3 separate regions of the Mus musculus genome follow, and regions 2 and 3 are each reported to be linked to region 1. The links are microRNA targets in miRTarBase. Many come from high-throughput screens and were not tested one by one. Region 1 holds a microRNA gene; each other region holds the end of a gene's coding sequence.

The links. Region 1 holds the annotated microRNA mmu-miR-544-5p (UCUUGUUAAAAAGCAGAGUCU, at 2,233-2,253, shown strand). A microRNA usually pairs through its seed, bases 2 to 8, with sites in the 3' UTR of a target mRNA and lowers its output. Matches are read on the target gene's strand: a 7mer-m8 pairs with bases 2 to 8, a 7mer-A1 pairs with bases 2 to 7 and ends in A, and an 8mer does both.
Region 2: miRTarBase lists Sspn as a target of mmu-miR-544-5p. Seed matches in the 3' UTR shown: 7mer-A1 at 2,093-2,099 and 7mer-A1 at 894-900.
Region 3: the mRNA of Rmi2 is a reported target of mmu-miR-544-5p. Seed matches in the 3' UTR shown: 8mer at 2,664-2,671.

The regions. Positions count from the first base shown.
Region 1 is chr12:109,727,103-109,730,449 of GRCm38, forward strand. It overlaps Mir544 (microRNA 544), which reads left to right and starts at 2,223; the gene lies at 2,223-2,300. It overlaps Mir487b (microRNA 487b), which reads left to right and starts at 231; the gene lies at 231-312. Mir539 (microRNA 539) reads left to right here and starts at 1,027; the gene lies at 1,027-1,100.
Region 2 is chr6:145,960,996-145,963,995 of GRCm38, reverse strand. It overlaps Sspn (sarcospan), which reads right to left. Exons shown (of 3, transcript NM_010656.3): 3 at 1-2,866. The coding sequence ends at 2,501. Among named protein-coding and RNA genes, the nearest start is that of Gm32838, 6.4 kb to the left of the region's middle.
Region 3 is chr16:10,839,524-10,842,870 of GRCm38, forward strand. It overlaps Rmi2 (RecQ mediated genome instability 2), which reads left to right. Exons shown (of 2, transcript NM_001162932.1): 2 at 306-3,347. The coding sequence ends at 454. Among named protein-coding and RNA genes, the nearest start is that of Rmi2, 6.1 kb to the left of the region's middle.

The sequences.
Region 1 (3,347 bases):
CTGTGTGTAGCCTGGGTCCCTGCTTTCCCAGGCTGATGGTCAGGTCTGTGCTGGTGTGGGCCGTTGTTTTTTGATGTGCTGCCGTGCCGTGGTACCCAAGTGTGCATGTTCTTGCTTGGTGTGTGTGACCCAGTCTGCTAACGCTCAGCGTCTAATTCGTCCCCAGGACCCTACCTGGAAGACGTAGCACGTCTACCTGAGGCGGTGGCTTTGCTTTCCAGGCCGAGCTTTGGTACTTGGAGAGTGGTTATCCCTGTCCTCTTCGCTTCACTCATGCCGAATCGTACAGGGTCATCCACTTTTTCAGTATCAAGTGCGCAGACTCTGCAGCCTGGCTTCCTGCGCCTGGATCCTGCCACTGCCACTTCCCATCACACATCCTTGGACAAGGGTGTCGCCGTGTTATGCTCCTTGTCTCGTGTGTCACTCGCGAGTCCTCTTGGGGTCCAATGCATATGGCTCTCGGGGGCTGGGAGAGATCAGGCTCTTGTAGGGACTAGGCTCATTATTGACCATGTGCCAGCCCAAACTTTTGTCTGCTGGGAGCTGACTGCTGGCAGCTATGATGGTGATATACAAACCTCTCCTTGGATTTGGGAGCCCATGTTGAGACAGACATTCTCTGTCAGTCATGTGAGTGGGTGTTGGAGCTTAGAGTTTGTGCTGGACTTACAAGGTGGTGCTTGTGACTCGGCAGTGACATCATTTCTGTAGCAGCTTCTAGAACAGAAGACCCCATGCCGGGGGTCAGCAGGGCCACCCACAATGCTTGCTCCACTTAAGATGGACACTGCCTGGCTTCTTGACCCCAGCCACCATTACCCTTAGAAGAGGCTAACGTGAGGTTGTCATGCTGAGTCCTGGGGAGTCATTTCTATAGCCTCTCACCTCCCTGGTGCTTAGAATGGCCATCAGTAGTACTGCATGCATGGTGCATGTATGTATTGGGTGCAGCCACGTGTGAGGAGTGGTGATCACTCCCAAGAGGCCTATGGATGCTGGTATTCCTGCTGTGCTACTGTTTCATACTTGAGGAGAAATTATCCTTGGTGTGTTGGCTCTTTTGGATGAATCATACAAGGATAATTTCTTTTTGAGTATCAAATACTGCCCTGGTGGACTTCCGGGATGACGAGACGGTTGTTTAAAGAGGTGCCTGGTGCATGATGCATGGGTTAGCCTTACCTGGGCACAAGGCAAGAGAGCACAGAACTGATGTGTAAGAGCTACACTCTGATCCCAAGTCAGGATCTTGCTTGAAGAGTCCAGGGGTTCCTACGTGGCTTGGTCATGGTGAGATAGCACAGTTTTCATGACTTGGCAAATCGTTCTTTTTTTTTTTGGATGGGCAGCCAATCTCACAGATAGTCACTGGGGTCAGGCCCCGGCCCCTTGCTCAAGAGTGTGACTGGTTCCACAAGCATGTGCTTGAATGACAGAGGCCGGCGAGCTGTCTGGTCTGGATCGTGAGAGGAGGTCCTGCGGTTTTTCTCGGTGCGGTGGTTCTCTGACATTTGCAGGGTGGCTATCAATAGTGTGCTCGCCATATTTATGGAGATTAATTGGGACGACCATTGTTTGCCCCATATCTGGATTTGCTTCCGAAGGTCCTAGAGCACAGTGGTGACTTCAGCTAATGGACATTGGTACCTGCTGCAGGAGAGGGAGAATTTATTGAGGCAGAGTAACCTCAGAAGGCACCCCCCCCCCCATGTACTCTCACAGTGACAGCTTTGAGGTGGCAACAGCTTTGGTGGCTTGCTTCTTTGTGCTTGGTCTGGAGAACACTGAGAATAACTCACCTGTCTGTTGTTGCTGTTAAGTCTTAGTTCAGAGGAACTCCTTGAGAAGGTACTGGGTCAAGCATCTCTTTAGGTAGACAGAACTTGGCCAGGGTCTTCTAGGTCCAGCACCCACTCTCCTCAGCATCCATTCTGAGCATAGACTTCCTGTGGTTAATACAGGTGTTAATAAGGATACTTCCTGCCGCCGCCGCTGCCTTAAGTCACTCTCTATCTGTTCCTATGGCTTCCTTTGGGCTGACTTTTTCTTAGACATACCTGGTCAATAGCATACCATTTCAGCTCATTCCATAATCTGGTGTGTGTGTGTGTGTGTGTGTGTGTGTGTGTGTGTGTGTGTGTGTGCCTGCATGCATGCTTGTACAAATTGTTGGTTAGTGTAGGGCCTCTCAAACTGCTCAACGCTGCTAAGATATTCGTCACCTAGGGATCTTGTTAAAAAGCAGAGTCTGATTGAGGGGCCAAGATTCTGCATTTTTAGCAAGCTCTCAAGTGATGCTAATGCTGCCGGTCCGTGGACAACACATGTAGCCACTGGGGGCTGGAGGTGATGTTGCATGTTCCTTGTAGTGTGTGTGCTCCATCTCCTCCATCCACCCCGCATTATCCATCATGAGTGAGCATTGAGCCAATATGCTACCTTTTGATGATCAAACTGTGGTCAGTTGTGAAAGGCCACCTGCTGTACAAACACCATTATTGATTATTGATTATTCTTTCAAATCAAAGCATGCCTCTATGGGCTTCCCAGATATAAGAGCTACTTCAAGGAGGGGCTGCCTATGTCAGCCAACAGCAGGACTTGTCAGCACCAGGTTATTGGTGACTGAGACCATCTGACTCTGTAACTCTCCATTTCCAGTCAATTGTAAGGAGCACAGTTCTGGAACCACAGCTTCTGGGGAAGGAGGAGTCCTATCTGTCGTATCTACCAGCAACCCTCGACGTTATCGAGAGAGGTAATGCCCATGGTGCCATTGCCCTTCCATGATATTCGGCCAGCTGCTGGCTTCTTGCCATCCAGCTTACCTCTCAGGGAGGACCAGATAGACTTCCATTTTGTTTCTAAATTGACCTGCCTTAGGAAGCTCTTGTGGGAATGAGTTTTTCCGTCAGACCAGATTTTAGCCCTAGGACCAATGTGTAGCAGTGAGTGGTTGCTGTCAGCTCATGTGCTTTCTTACAGACTATGGGAATTCACCTCTCAGAGTCTAGGAATTCAATTTGTCATTGGAAGAATCTTCTGGAAGGAGAGAGGACAGTAGACAAGAGGCCCCGGTTTTCCTGTCAGAGATCTCTGAGAATATTTGAGGTCATTCATGTTCTGTTTGCTTATTGTGAACGAGACACAGTTAGCTTCCTTTTGACTATCAAACTCTGCTTTTTTGAAGGGCCCCCTGCACAAGCGATATGAGACTGCCTGCCTTGTGTGAGCCTTGGATGAGCCCTGCAGCTCCTTCGAGATGCTCCTTGGATATTCCTGATGGAGAAGACCAACCCCGAGGAAGCTTGGTCCTGCTTGCGATGAGCTTGCTGTGCTTTCAC
Region 2 (3,000 bases), not on the chromosome of region 1:
ACCAGCATATCGTAAGCTCCCAGCACAGGGTCCTGCCACCCGGCTCTGCTCCTTCTCTTCACTTACAGTGCCTCCTCCTCTTTGGGAAGTTAATAATTTGATCATAATAGTAAAATCCCCATCTTATGCAGACAGAATATTATAAGCTGGAACCACCCCAAGCCTTGGTTGTGTTAGAAAAGTAAGAAACCCACAGGCTAAAATTGCTCTACCCTTTAAAATGCCCCCCCCCCCCGTGAGTTGTTTGTAAAGCATACGTTTGTAAAGCTTAGAGCAACTTAACTGTGTGGGGGAATCTTAATTTCCTCATTTAAAAAACAAAAACAAAAACCTGTTGAGTTTGTTGGACAAAGGCATTCTGTGTGTGCTTCCAGCAGGGCTGGGTGCACAGTAACAGGCGTGAAAACAGCGTCACTTTGAAAGGACAGCCCGTGACATCCTGGATTCTCTACCATGTACCATGTTTTATAGAAAACTATCGAAAGTCAGCGTGAGATTGGTTACTCTTAACTGTGTGTGTGCATTCATGGGAAGGCCAGGGGCCAGCTATCCACTCCGGGTTATTTTTAGTGTTGGTTTTTTTCTTGAGACAAACTCTCTCATCATGGACCTGAAGTTAATCACTACACTAAAGATGGCTGGTGAAGGAGCCCCAGGGATCTGCCTGTCTCTGCCTCTGCAATGCCAGGATCACAAGCACACACCTGTGCCTGGCTGTTTTACATGGGATCAGGTTCTTACTGGGATGGCAAGGACTTTGATAACTGAGCCATCTCCACAGCCCGGAGCTGGTTATTCTTAACAAACACTAAAGGTTTCCCAGGTTAGTACCAGGAAGCTTACTGTGGCATTCATGCAATTTTGTCTGAAAGCAGTCCCCCCCCCTTTTTTTTTCTTGTTTTTGTTTGTTAAGTTTTGTTTTTTTCAAGACAGGGTTTCTCTCTCTGCTCTGGCTGTCCTAGAACTTTCTTTGTAGACCAGGCTAGCCTTCAACTCACAGAAATACACCTGCCTCTACTTCCCAAGTGCCGGAATTAAAGACATGTGCCACCACCACCCCATTCCTTTTGGTGGAATTTTACCCAATTACATAGCAAAGTCTGTCTTAACCAAGTACCATGTCTTAACTCTAAACTGAGACTGAATACCCTAACTGTGGACGTATCACCCAAACAAGGGCTTTGAGACATTCTGTCTCTAGGTCAATTGTAAAAGCCCTCATTACTAGGATTTCCCAGGAAGTCCATGTGTATGACAGGACTTAGTACCCAATCCCATCAAAGGTACTTGGTGGTCCTGGGAGATACTTTTCAATATCACAAATGTGTTGTTAATATAAGCATTTCCTGTGACAAATGCTCTTGGTTGTTTCCCCTCTGAGAGTGTTTCAATGTTTTACAAGATCATTTTTTGCAGTGGATGATTTCCAGGAAAGTGGATCTTCAGCCATCTTCCCTTGTGGCTGTAATTTTTCCTAACACCAACGGTGCTGCCTAAGAACAGCCAGAGCTCATTAAACAGAATCCTGAGCATAATTATAATGAACAATTAGCTGGAAATTAGTCTTAATGATTTGTTTTAGATGACAGACTAGAGGCATAATATAATTATTTTTAAACTTTCCTCGTCGTTAAGAATGCAACAGCACCACCTTTCAATTATGGTGAATCAGACCTCACGGAGGCTGCAGCCCACTCGTGGATCGGAGCTAAGGCAACCGGAAGTCTGCACCCCAGCCCAGGTGTTCAGAATCACTCAGCCTTCCTGTTCAACTAGTTTTTTTTTTTTAAAGCCATTTCATGCCTTGAAGACATCTCCACTGTGAAAACATAAAAGCACTCAACTGAGATCCAGCTTTCCTTAGACCTTTCCCAAGACACCACGGGGATAATGGCAGGTGGTAGAGGAGCCGGAAGACTCTAGAGTCTATGGGTGATGCCAGTTCACACCATCGCACTGGACTAACGGGAAGGCGGAGGAGGGTGAGGATGTAAGGGCGGCTGGGATAAACACCAGAGCTAGCGCTGGCTCTAGGTCATCTCTTCCCTGTCTGGTGTTCTTTTCCTTTCGGTGTTCACCAAGTCAATTTGAATCTTGTTTCTCATTAGAACTTTAAAAATAGGTTAGATTCTCTAAATCACGCGTGTGCGCATGCGTGTGCTCCCAATGTCCCCGGAGCTGGAGGTACAGGTAACTGTGAGCCACTGAACTTGGGCTCCGGAACTGAGCTTGAACCCGAGTCCTCCGCAAGAGCAGCAAGTCCTCTTCACTTGTAAGCCGTCTCTCCACCCCTGTCCTCACAAGAAGTTTTTAAAAAGTACAATAGAGATCCAAAAAACAAGTTGTTTTGTTTTCTGAAAAAAAAATCTAAAAATACACATTTAGAGAATGAAAAAGTATTCGTTGTCAAAAGTTTGCCTTTACAAAATTGTGGTTTTTTTCACCTTGCCTAGTCAGTGGGTGTGCCGTTTCTGAGCTTGTCTCCCTCTGAGCCAACCTGTTAGGCCTTTGGTAGCTGGCCATCAGAAGCCATCAGGGAGCGCAGCCCAACACCCACATAAAAGACCTGGTACCTGTGTTTCCACATCACAAAGCAAGCCAGCAAGCACACGAGGCCACAGACCAGGTTTAGGACCATCTGGATGATTAAGAACAATTTGAAAGTGCCAGTGACGCTGGTACAGTCAGTCACATCCCTGTAAACAAAGGCCCTGCTGAGCGGCTCCGAGGAAGGCAGCTTGCACTGGCAAGAATCCAGGGAGGTCTCGCAGGTAAACTGCGCAAGCAGGGAGTAGTGGTGGGCGGCAAAGGCCACAGCCAGCATGCAGACCATCAGGCCGAGGGCACTCAACAGGAAGTAGAATACCTGCAAGAGAAAAGAAATGCTTCCTGTTACAGAGAGGACTGGCCAACCCTGTTTGACTGAGTTCTCCCAGGCAAGGGCCAGTCTCTTCTCAAAACCTAACAACCAAAGCCAAGGATATTACGTCCCACTGTTTA
Region 3 (3,347 bases), not on the chromosome of region 1:
GGGCATAGAGCCCCAAGGATCGGCCTGTCTTCCTTTCGTTAACACTGATCACATACATATGCATGCCACCCTGCCATGCTTTTTCTGCATGGATGCTGGGCCTCTGAACTCAGGTCCACAAGCTTTGGCAAGCCTTTTACCAACCAGGCCTGAGCTTTGCCTACAAGCTTCATCTCCCTAGCCCTAGACAAGGTTTCTGTCTCGACCTTCCTTCTCTGATAAAGGCCCCAAGGTCGGGGTCTCTGTTGGTTTTTCCCACCTGCCTTGTTAGTATGAACATCACCATCCTTCTCTTCTCTTCCCAGGAAAGTATGTGATGGTGATGGGGGTGGTTCAGGCCTGCAGTCCTGAGCCCTGCCTGCAGGCCGTGAAGATGACGGATCTTTCTGACAATCCTGTCCACGAAAGCATGTGGGAACTGGAGGTGGAAGATTTACACAGGAATATTCCTTAGCGCTGGGACCCTCTAAGAACAGTTTACCCCCATATGGGTCTCAGGAACATCACAAAAGTTTCTTGAAGAGATTCGCTTTGGTTGAGCCAGCCGTCTGGACCCTGGGAACTGGATCCTCGGTTGTCTAAGCCACTCCTCCCTGCCTTCCTGCTGCTGCTGCAAAGCATATGCCCCCCCCCCCCCCCGTCACTTACGTGTGTGTGTGTGTGTGTGTGTGTGTGTGTGTGTGTGTGTGTGTGCGCGTGCGCGCGCGCGAAAGTGTGCCTTTCTCTTGCTGAAGCTCGTGGAAAGCTCATGTTGTCATTTCCTGGTTCTTCGAATGATAACACTTTCTCCTTGACCATACCTCTGAATTTCAGTTTGTTGCCAATGGATTAAAATTACAGATGTGAGGACAGAATGGCATAGTGGCCTGCCTCCCATCACCAGCTATTGCCAACTTGTAGGGACAGGTACCAGCCCCTTGCTGACAGCTTGCTCTCATATGCATTGTGCTCATACTGAAGCTGAGGCCAGCTGTTGAGAATGGTGGGAATTCTCACAATTCTCTGTTGAACTTAAAAATCCAAGATGGAGACAGACTTTTCAAGCACTTCTGCTTCAAAACTGTTGTGGAGAGACATCCAAGGTGGAACAGCCTGTAGGCTTAGAGTCCTGGCCTCCTTTCTGTATGAAACGCCTTTCTGTTGGGGTTGTATCAGTGTTGGGTTTGGCTTTCTGCTGACAACCCAGGCTAGATTCCTATTTGGATGGCAAAGACCCAGCAGGCCATCTTATGTTACAGTCTTGCTGTAGGACTCTTCCTAGTAACACTTTTTTTGTTTTGTTTTTTGTTGTTTTTCGAGACAGGGTTTCTCTGTATAGCCCTGGCTGTCCTGGAATTCACTTTTTAGACCAGGCTGGCCTCGAACTCAGAAATCCGCCTGCCTCTGCCTCCCCAGTGCTGGGATTAAAGGCGTGCGCCACCACACCCGGCCCTAGTAACATTTTTTGTGTGGTGTAGTTTTTAAAAGTAAGCCCTACTATCTGTTTGTCTTAAAGACAGGGTCTTATATAGCTCAGGTAGTCTCCAGCTCATGACTCTCTTCCCTCCCCTCCAGCCCGTTGAGATTACGGGTGTGCACTACTGTGTCTGCAGTGCTGGGGATGGAACCCAGGGCTTCCTGCAAGCTAAGCAAACACTGTATTACTGAGCCACATTTCCAGCCTAAAATGTTGATTTATTAAAACAGTTTTAGGTTTTTGGAAAGAATGAACAGAAAGTGTTTCCATAAGCACACTGAAGCTGAGGCTGTGTATGTGTTAAGCAAACACATGAGCTAGAGCCCCAGCTCTTGTGTCTTCAAGGCTAGCCAGATGTGGCAGGCCTCCTGCTGCAGCCTCCAGAGTGTGGCCCACACCCCACACTCGGCCCCCACACCCAGCCTCACCTGGATTGCCATGAGCATCAGGTGGTACTTGTCACCAGAAAAGCTAAGGAGTCACCTGGCAGGAGATGGACATCGAGGGACAAGAGAGGATGAGGACTCAGGTGATCTAGACCTGCCTCCTTCCTGCCCTCCACCCCCTAGAAAAAGCATCGAGGCCTTGAGCCCAGTTTGTAGCTCAGGCCAACCTCAGATTTCCCATCTTCCTGCCTCTGGTTAACTGGGATTGCAGGCCTGCTCCTCCAGCCTGCTTACATGGACGCCTTAAAAAAAAGATTTTATCTTTAGTTATGTGTTCGTGGGGTGCTTTGGAGCCCAAGAGAGAGTGTTGATAAATAAACTTTACCAGCCCCATGCCAGGTAGCTCACAGCTTCAGTAACTCCCTGTAGTTCCTAGGCATCTGACGCCGCCTTCTGGCCCCTGGAAAACCCTCACAACCTAGCATATAGACTTCAAATAAATACTTAAAAAAAAATAAGTCCTAAAAAATAAAGAGAGCCAGGTGGTGGTAGCGCACGCCTTTAATCCCAGGGAGGCAGAAGCAGGCGGATTTCTGAGTTCGAGGCCAGCCTGGTCTACAAAGTGAGTTCCAGGACAGCCAGGGCTACACAGAGAAACCCTGTCTCGAAAAACAAATAAATAAATAAATAAATAAATAGGGTTTAAGAATAGTAGTAATGAGGGCTGGTGAGATGGCTCAGTGGGTAAGAGTACCCGACTGCTCTTCCAAAGGTCCGGAGTTCAAATCCCAGCAACCACATGGTGGCTCACAAACCATCTGTAACAAGATCTGACGCCCTCTTCTGGTGTGTCTGAAGACAGCTACAGTGTACTTACATATAATAAATAAATCTTAAAAAAAAAAAAAAAAAAACAGTAGTAATGAATGGCACTGGGGTTGGACCACGGGGTCCCCAGGGTCTCACACACGCCAGAGTAGCACTCGACCAGCTAGCCTCCTCTGACCTTTAAACTGATGGATGTCTGTTGTGCTGGGAGGATGGTGCCCTACAATCCCACGTAAAGACTACCAGCTGATTCATCTTTCTGCATGACTGCCTTCCTGCCAGCCAGCCAGCCAGCCAGCCAGCCAGCCAGCAGTAGTCAGTCTCTCTGGCCTTCCCTTCTTCCTTCCCTCCCCTCCTCACCCTGCCTTCCCCACCCTACCTTTTTAGGCAGTGTCTCTAGTTCAGACTGGCCTTGAACTTGGGCTTTCCTGGAACTCATTATGTAGAGCAGATGAGTTTCTGCCTCCTGAGTGCTGTGTTAAAGGTGCTAACATTTTCTTTTAAAGGAAGGCCAAGTTGAAAAGTGATCTGTGTTTGACTGCTGAACCATTCATTTTTTAGGTCTATTTTTATTTGTGTGTGTGTGAGTCTAAAAGAGGACCTTGGAATCTTGAGCTGGGGTTACAGCAGGTCTGAGCATCCCTGTGTGGGTTCTGGGAACCAAACTCAGGTCCTCT